2 linked regions of the Oryctolagus cuniculus genome follow. The protein of the gene in region 2 interacts with the protein of the main gene of each other region in a pairwise test. Links are inferred from orthologs where the notes say so. Each region holds a gene or a part of one and is shown on either strand. Other genes may lie near its edges. The genes, in order: PLOD3 and RAB3IP.

Region 1 (3,461 bases), on a different chromosome or scaffold from region 2:
GCACACAGTTTCTGTCCCTGTCCAGAGGCCTTGCCACGAGCAGTGTTCTCCTGTCCCTGCTCAGTCCATGGCCAAACACAGGGCCTGGTCTGAAGGCAGTGGAGCACAGGGCGAGAGGACGGGCCGTCCACAAAGGAGGATAACCCCAGCGGGCCATCAGCACCGCCCTCCTGCCAGGGGGCTCCAGCTGGGGAGGGGGAAGGGTCCGGAACCAACAAAACGCCCTGGGCCAGGTGGCGTCAAGGCCTCTAGCAGGGAACAGAGAGGAGATCCAGGGGCAGCCCCCAGGGAGCCGCAAGGGCTTGGGGGTCTCCCAGAGGCTGGAAGGAGCCCTGCTCTCAGGTCTCTCCTCCTCTCACAGCCCCCTCTGCCAGGAAGCTCTCCAATGATGACCCTGCAGGGAATCCCGTTCCCTGGTCATGCCCAGGTTCAAGTTTAGGTCCAGAGCACGTGCGTGTCCAGGGGGCAGCTCCTGTGCCAGTGCCGTCCTTGGCTCCTGCACCCATCCTTGGGGAGGTCAGGGGCCTGCGTGGGGCTGGGGCCTCCACCTGAACCGGCAGGTACAGCCTTTCCCGCGCTCTGCCCGCAGTGCTGGGCAGGGGACAGGGTGGCGGGCAGGAACAGGACCAGACAAGGGGGGATGACAGACAACCCACGGACTCAGAGTTACAAATCCTCCTTTAGTGGGAGGGAACAGTCTCAATAATTTATCACCCAGGGCACCCCCAGGAGACCCTTTCCCCAGGAGCCCTTGCGGGCTCTAGGGAGGGGGCTGTGTCTGGGCAGGGTGGGGGCGGGGGAGGTGCACGACACGATCAGTCCCAGGCACGCTCAGCACACATTCAGGACGCGGGGAGACCGGCGGCCGCCCCTTTCCGGCGGCTGGGGCTGCGGCTGGGGCTCCCCTGAGAAGGCACCATGGCAGTGAAGGTTTGGCACAGTGGTTGCGTGTCAGGGGTCGACAAAGGACACCATGATATAGCGGGTGCCCCGAGTGGTGGGCAGCCCCTCGTGGTAGTGGGTGAGGCGGCCGGGGTGCAGGAGCCCCCAGCCCTTCCGCGGGGCCGAGATCACGCAGTCGTAGCGCAGGAAGCGGCAGCCGCCACCCTGGTGGGGGGAGTGAGAAAGGAGCAGGCGAGGGGGCTGAGCACACACCTGAGCTGTGGGGGTGGTGCCACACGGGGGGGGGGGGGCATCTGCGGGAAGGGGGCAGGAAGGCACGGGGTGGGGGTGGCAGGAGCTCCAGGTAAGGGTCCCCCCCACCAGGGCATAGGGCATGCACATGGGGAGGAAGGCACGGGGTGGGGGTGGCAGGAGCCCTGGGTAAGGGTCCCCCTGTCCCGGGCGTGCACGTGGGAGGAAGGCACGGGGTGGGGAGGTGGCAGGAGCCCTGGGTAAGGGTCCCCCCGCCCCAGGGCATGCACGTGGGTGTGTGCTGACGGGGGAGGGGCTCACCTCATAGTCCAGGCCCTTGTGGTTAAGGGCCACGTTGAGGGTGAAGGTGGAGGAGTCGTGATGTGGCCGCAGAGAGGGCTGCTCGTCCGGCCGATAGCGAACCACGAAGTTCATCACCGCCCGGGCCTGCAGGTGCAGAGAGCAGAGGATGGGGGGAGGGGCTGCTGGGGAGAGCACAGCACCCCCCCACACACACACACACCTCGAGACCCCCAAGGTCTCACTGCTAACTGGCGCCGCGGCTAAGCCACGATGCACCCCGGGTCTCGGCCTGCCTACTTCTGGCCCGGTCCCTGTCCCCGCTCCCCGTCTCATTCCTGGGACCTGGATTCCACAGAACCTTAGACACGGGAGCTGATGGGGCTCTGGGTGGCCACTGGCAGGCTGGGGCAGAGGTGGCGGTGGCAGGGGCGGTGAGGGCAGCCGCAGCGGCCTACCTTGGTGTGGTAGCCCGGAAACAGGCTCTCGGTCATGGGGCCCACGTAGGTCCTCAGCAGCTGCAGCCACTGGTCCTCGTAGCCCACCTGCTTCATGTGGATGTCCACGGTGGGCACATTCTCGTAGCCTCCGGCCAGCCTTGAATCCTGGGGGCAGTGGACGCTGAGCCGGGGCCCCTCCGCGCCCCGCCCGGGCCAGGCCCCCTCCCCCATGCTCCCAAGTCTTCACACGCTTGCTCTCCGTGCCTGGAGCACTCCTTCCCTACTTCCTGATTTCACAGCTCCCATGAAGCCCTCCTGTCCCCCCAGGCAGGGACAAGGGCTGCCCGTCCCAGCCTCTGGAAGCTGGGCAGCTGCTGCTCGGGACAGGAGGGCAGAGCCTGCCCTGCCTGGCGCCTCGCTGCACCTGCACGTCCTGGCCAACGGCCCAGTGACGTTTCCTCGATGCAGGCGTACTGCCTGGGGCTCACTTCCCCGTGTGTCCCCCCCATCCATTCCATCGCCCCCGGTCTCAGCGTCCCCTCCTCCCGGGAGGCCTGGACCCTCACCTCATGCCGGCCTCCTGACCACTGGCCGTAGTGCTCCATCTCTTCCACCAGCTCGTCACACATCTGCTCTGACAGCAGCGGGAACCAGTAGACATCCGGGCACGGCTGGGGTGGGGCGGGGAAAGGAGGAGCAGCGCTGGGGTGGGTGCTCACAGAGCAAAGGCAGAGGGGGAGAGGGAGGAGAGGCTGGGGCAGAGCAGGGCGGCCTGCGGGTCCGGGAGCCCCAGGTTCCCACCCCTCCACAACAGGCACCTCTTTTTGACATCCTAGTTTCACCCATAAACCGATCGCTACGCCCCGGACACAGAGGAGGTCGCGCGGGCTGGAGCCCCGTCGGCTCGACTGCTGCCACAGGACTCACCTGCTCCACCATCCCGTCCCCTTCCAGGGCCCTGCTATAGTTCTCGTGGATGTACTGCTCCTTCCAGTCCTGGGGGGGCAGGATGGGGTGACACAGAGGATGGGGGGGACCCTGAGATGCGGCCCAGGCAGCCCCCGCCGCCTCCTCGGCTGCCGGCCCCCACTCACCACAGGGTTGTCGAAGATCTGCCACAGGTCGGGGTGCAGGTGGTCCGTGTCGTAGCGGGACGTGGCCAGGAGGCGGCCAAACTCATGCCGGTTGCTGAGGTGCAGGAAGATGCCCTGGGTGGGGGCGGGGCGGCGAGCACGCGTGAGAAGGGCGCTGGCCACGGCAGCGGGCGGCCGGCCCCCGGCACCCGCCCGCCAGCCCTCACCTGGTCACGCAGGCTCTTACAGAAGGCCATGTCCGGGTCGGTGTCGCTGCTCGAGAACACCTCTCTCTGGGGCAGCTCGGTCCGCAGGGTCTCCCCGCGGATCACGTAGGCCTGGGCTATGTAGGGCACATTCCACACGCCCCTGGAGGCCCGGACGCTGGAGTCAGCGCCCGATTCTTGCCCTCAGGACACTCACGCCCCCTGTCGGGGACTGCGGGGGTCACGAGGCATCTCCCCACCCCCAGTGTGGCAGGAGCGCCTGGGAGCAGGCGACACTCACACTCGCT
Region 2 (4,278 bases):
AAACAGGCTCGCCCACATCTCACGGGGAACATTTCATGCAATCCTCCTCCCACCATTAAGAAGTTCCTACTGGCCGGCGCCGCGGCTCAGTAGGCTAATCCTCCACCTGCGGCGCTGGCACACTGGGTTCTAGTCCCAGTCGGGGCGCCAGATTCTGTCCCGGTTGCTCCTCTTCCAGGCCAGCTCTCTGCTGTGGCCCGGGAGTGCAGTGGAGGATGGCCCAGGTCCTTGGGCCCTGCACCTGCAAGGGAGACCGGGAGAAGCACCTAGCTCCTGGCATCGGATCAGCGTGGTGCGCCGGCCGCAGCGGCCATTGGGGGGTGAACCAACGGAAAAGGAAGACCTTTCTGTCTCTCACTGTCCACTCTGCCTTTAAAAAAAAAAAAAAAAGTTCTTACTAGGCTGAAACACGAAAACCGGCAGAGTGCTGGCAACCGCACTTGCTGTGGTCTGACAGCATTTCCATAATGTAGAAAACAAGTTCAGAGAGGTTAAATGCTTCCCTCAAAGTCATAGGCTTAGTAAGTGATGGAGCAGAAAGTTAAATCATTCTTCCTTTGGCCAGCTCACTCATTCGTTGAGTGAGTCCCGCCTGGGAGGGGGCAAACAATGTATGCTAATCACCACAATCAATGGAAACCACTGCACCTGTAAGTTTTTTCTGCCTTATTAAAAAAGGACGGGGTGGCCTAGATTTCTAAGACCTATTCCATTTTAACAATTATTTGTAGAGCCTGTGTCAGGGGTTGGGCAGGGAAGGACAAGTGGAGAGTTGAGGGAAAATCAGAGGTAAAGAATACTAACGAACAAGGGGTGACGCTGTGGTGCAGTGGGTTAAGCTGCCACCCAGGACACCAGCATCCCACATGGGTGCTGGTTCCAGTCCCGGCTGCTCCACTTCCAGCCCAGCTCCCTGCTAACGGCCTGGAGAAACCAGGGGAAGATGGTCCAAGTATATGGGCCCCTGCCACCCACGTGGGAGGCCTGGATGAAGCTCCTGGCTCCTTGTTTGGGCCTGGCCCAGTGCTGGTCATTGAGGCCATCCAGGGAGTGAAATCAGCATATGCAAGATCCTTCTTGTCTGTCTCTCCGTCTCTGAAACTTTCAAAATAAATAAATAGACCTTTTAGCAGAGATTAAAGAAGCATATAACCACATGAATTCAGAAAGCACAACTGGATCTAATCAAAAATCTCACTAATTAAAAGCAAATGCACATCAAGTACCCATCCTGGTGAAAAGTTACAGGTGTTCAGTTGTGTGCCAAACCCACGAGGAAGAGTTACCTTAGACACTGCGGGTCACGAAAGCATGCGTTAATATATAACACCATTACAACAGAAAACATTCGCAGGCTTTTCTTCTAATAGTAAGAAATACACCACTGTCGTAAAATTATTTAACTGTGAAGTTTATTCACAGAAATTCCACAAAGGCTTTAGGATCAGATCACATCAACCATATTTGGAATACAGTGACTGTCTAAACCTGAGAAGTCCTATCAAAATGCACAGTACTAGTAAATAAATAACATTAACAGAACAAGACCTCATAAAACTGGTGAAATATTTAACAGTATCAAATATTTACTGTGACGAGTATACAAACCTATTCTGCCTCTTTTCTCCTTGATGTGTCATTCACCATTATTTTCGTTAAAACTGCACGAGCCAGAGAAGAATAAGGATAATGGAGAGAAAGCGGGTCTTTCAATAGATTCACAACAGCGGAGTTTCGTTGTAATCCTCTTACCGGGCTCTCCAATTATGCAATCATTCCAGGGCTGGCTCCCAGGGCTCTTTCCCCACACTGAAAGAGTCAGGGGGAAAACAGTGTATAACAGATAGCCTTGGAACGAGTAACACTGCCAGGAAACTAAACAGCCTCGCAGGAGCTGCCTCTGTTCAACTCGGCTCTCTGATTTTCCAGCATCTTACCAGGCAGATAGTATTATTATTGCAACTCTCCTAACTGGCAGCTCTCCACGTGCTGCGGATTGCATCCAGCATCATCCCTTCCACAGCCACCTCGCTGGCTTTTCCCGGGGCGCCAAGGAGAGCTGCTAAGGCCGGCAGGGCAGTGTCATTATGACCAGTCGGTGCAGCGTGTCCCAACTGCACCCAGCGCCTGCGAAAGCCGGGCAGAGCCGAGTGCCTCCCTGGGGTAGGAGGCTCCCGGCTCGCTCTCTCCCACCAGGTTTCGCCGAAACCTCCGGGGGTGACCTCTACGCCTCGCAGGGCGCCTGAGAAGCGGGCGTGACCCAGGTCCCGGTCCACGGCGCCCGCGCGGCCTCGGAGCTGCCCCGGGCTTCCCACTTGTTCGGGAAGTCTGTTCACCCCACTCCGCGACCCCCGGGGCCCGGGGCCCGGCCGCGCTCGCTCGCACACAGGTAACCAAGCTCCGAGCTGCCCGTCTCCGGCGCTCGGGACCGCGCAGTTAATAAGTAACGCGCCCGTGCCCGGGGGACAAGGAGGAGCCGCCGCCCGCCGCCCACCAGCGGCCCGGGGGCGCCCGGCTGACCCGGGGCGCCGAGGCCCCCACCACTCGCAGCCGCCGCGGGTCTGGGAGCCCGAGTGCCCAGGCGGGCAGCCCGCCGGGCCCGCGCCTCGATGGCACCTGCACCTGCCACAGACGTCCCTCCCGGCCGGCTCGCGGGAGGCGGGCAGGCGCGAGGGGGGCGGTGCTCCACGCCCCAGGCCTCCCACTCTTCGCGGCCGCACTCACCTGACGAATCCACAGCGGCCAGTGCCCGCACTCAGGGCAGCTCGCAGAGAGGCAAGAGAGCGCGCGCCTCCAAAACGGCCAGAAGCAGAGGAGGACGGCGGGCCGAAGCCGCTACACTCGGCGGCGGCGAGCGCACTGCGCCGGGGAGCCGCCGAGGGAGCGCGGGACTGCGCCTGCGCCAGGAGCGGGGCCCGGAGCCGGGAGCGGCCGGCGCCCGCGGAGGGAAGGCGGGGCTCGGGGCGGGGCCTCCGGGGGCGGGGCCTCCGGGGCGGGGCGCGGCCGGTGTGGGGCGGGAGGAGCCGACGCGTTTCCGCGCCCCCTGGCGCCGGGCGGGGCTCGCGGCAGGTGCCACCGCTCGCACCGCTGGGGCCCCAGGTGCTTCTGCGGGCGGTTTCCGTGGGAACGGACGCGACGGCGCCATGCCGTGTTGCCCTCCGCCGGCGCGAGGCCTCCAGGTAGCTTCCCCGGCGTTGGTTTCACCCGACGTCGGAAGAGGCACGGTGGCGGCGAGCTGTGGACTGCTAGAATCAACCCGAGACGGCGTCCACATGAACCTTACCGCGTGTGTGCGTGTGCATGGCGGGGACTGGGAGGGAAAGACTGATAGAACTTAGACCGCTGCGTTCGAGCCATTGCCAGAGCATTCCAGAATGTCCTTTCTGTACCTGCCTTCTCCTCTCTTTTGTGTCACCTATTGTTATCAAACTTCGCTCTCCGCCCCCTCCACCCCCCACATACACATTTTAAGTTCTCCAGGTAGGAGAAGTGAAAATACTGACAGAACCGAGCTCCTGAAAGTCTGATTAAAAAAAAAAAAAAAAAAAAAAGACAATCGCCATTATGTGGCTATGGCTAGTAAAAGATTCGGTATACTGATCAGATCTACTAGAGGCAGTAAAAAGTAGGTTTGTGGCTATTGGAATCAGAACTTCTGGCCTAACTGTGGGGCTGGCCTTGAGCAAGCTAATCCTTAATAACCCAAATTTTCTGGGGCTGGCGCTGTGGATACTGGGTAAAAGCTGCAGCCTGCAGTGCCGGCATCCCATATGGGTGATGGTTCAAGTCCCAGCTGATCTACTTCCATTCCATCTCCCTGCTATGGCCTGGGAGAGCAGTAGAAGATGGCCCAAGTCCATGAGCCTCTGCACCCACGTGGGAGACGCAGAAGAAGCTCCTGGCTGGTAGTCAAATCGGCCCAGCTTCGGATATTGGGGCCATTTGGTGAGTGAACCAGCAGATGGAAGATCCCTCTCTCCTTCTCTCTCTCTCTCTCTCTGTGCCTCTGCCTCTCTGTAATTCTTCCTTCCTTTTCTTTTTTTTTTTTTTTTACGTTTTTAAGCGTTTTTATTCAGTGAGAGGAATGCACAGGAAAGTGAGGGCTTTAATTAGGAGAGAGCGAGAGAGGTCTAGAAGCTAAGTTGGGTCCACACCAGGCAGATAGCAGGCCAGCAGCCACATGGAGCAAGCATACATACAAGAAAGCAGAGACAGCTGGCAACAAAGGTTCGCAACCAAAAAAGGAGGCCTTTTATCTACTCCCAAAGGGGAGTGGTG

The links.
Region 1: the proteins of RAB3IP (region 2) and PLOD3 interact in binary tests that used the Homo sapiens proteins (3 or more experiments, as listed by UniProt). The link is inferred for Oryctolagus cuniculus from reciprocal best matches to the Homo sapiens genes RAB3IP and PLOD3.

The regions. Positions count from the first base shown.
Region 1 is NC_091450.1:43,400,063-43,403,523, forward strand, and holds the end of PLOD3 (multifunctional procollagen lysine hydroxylase and glycosyltransferase LH3), read right to left. Parts: coding exon 3,455-3,461; intron 3,317-3,454; coding exon 3,175-3,316; intron 3,083-3,174; coding exon 2,969-3,082; intron 2,871-2,968; coding exon 2,802-2,870; intron 2,546-2,801; coding exon 2,441-2,545; intron 2,040-2,440; coding exon 1,893-2,039; intron 1,582-1,892; coding exon 1,456-1,581; intron 1,108-1,455; coding exon 952-1,107; 3' UTR 661-951; downstream 1-660. UniProt on the Homo sapiens protein: Multifunctional enzyme that catalyzes a series of essential post-translational modifications on Lys residues in procollagen. Plays a redundant role in catalyzing the formation of hydroxylysine residues in -Xaa-Lys-Gly- sequences in collagens.
Region 2 is NC_091442.1:72,314,750-72,319,027, reverse strand, and holds the start of RAB3IP (rab-3A-interacting protein), read right to left. Parts: upstream 2,866-4,278; 5' UTR 2,725-2,865; intron 2,077-2,724; exon of another isoform or gene 1,938-2,076; intron 1,810-1,937; 5' UTR 1,641-1,809; coding exon 1,609-1,640; intron 1-1,608. UniProt on the Homo sapiens protein: Guanine nucleotide exchange factor (GEF) which may activate RAB8A and RAB8B. Promotes the exchange of GDP to GTP, converting inactive GDP-bound Rab proteins into their active GTP-bound form.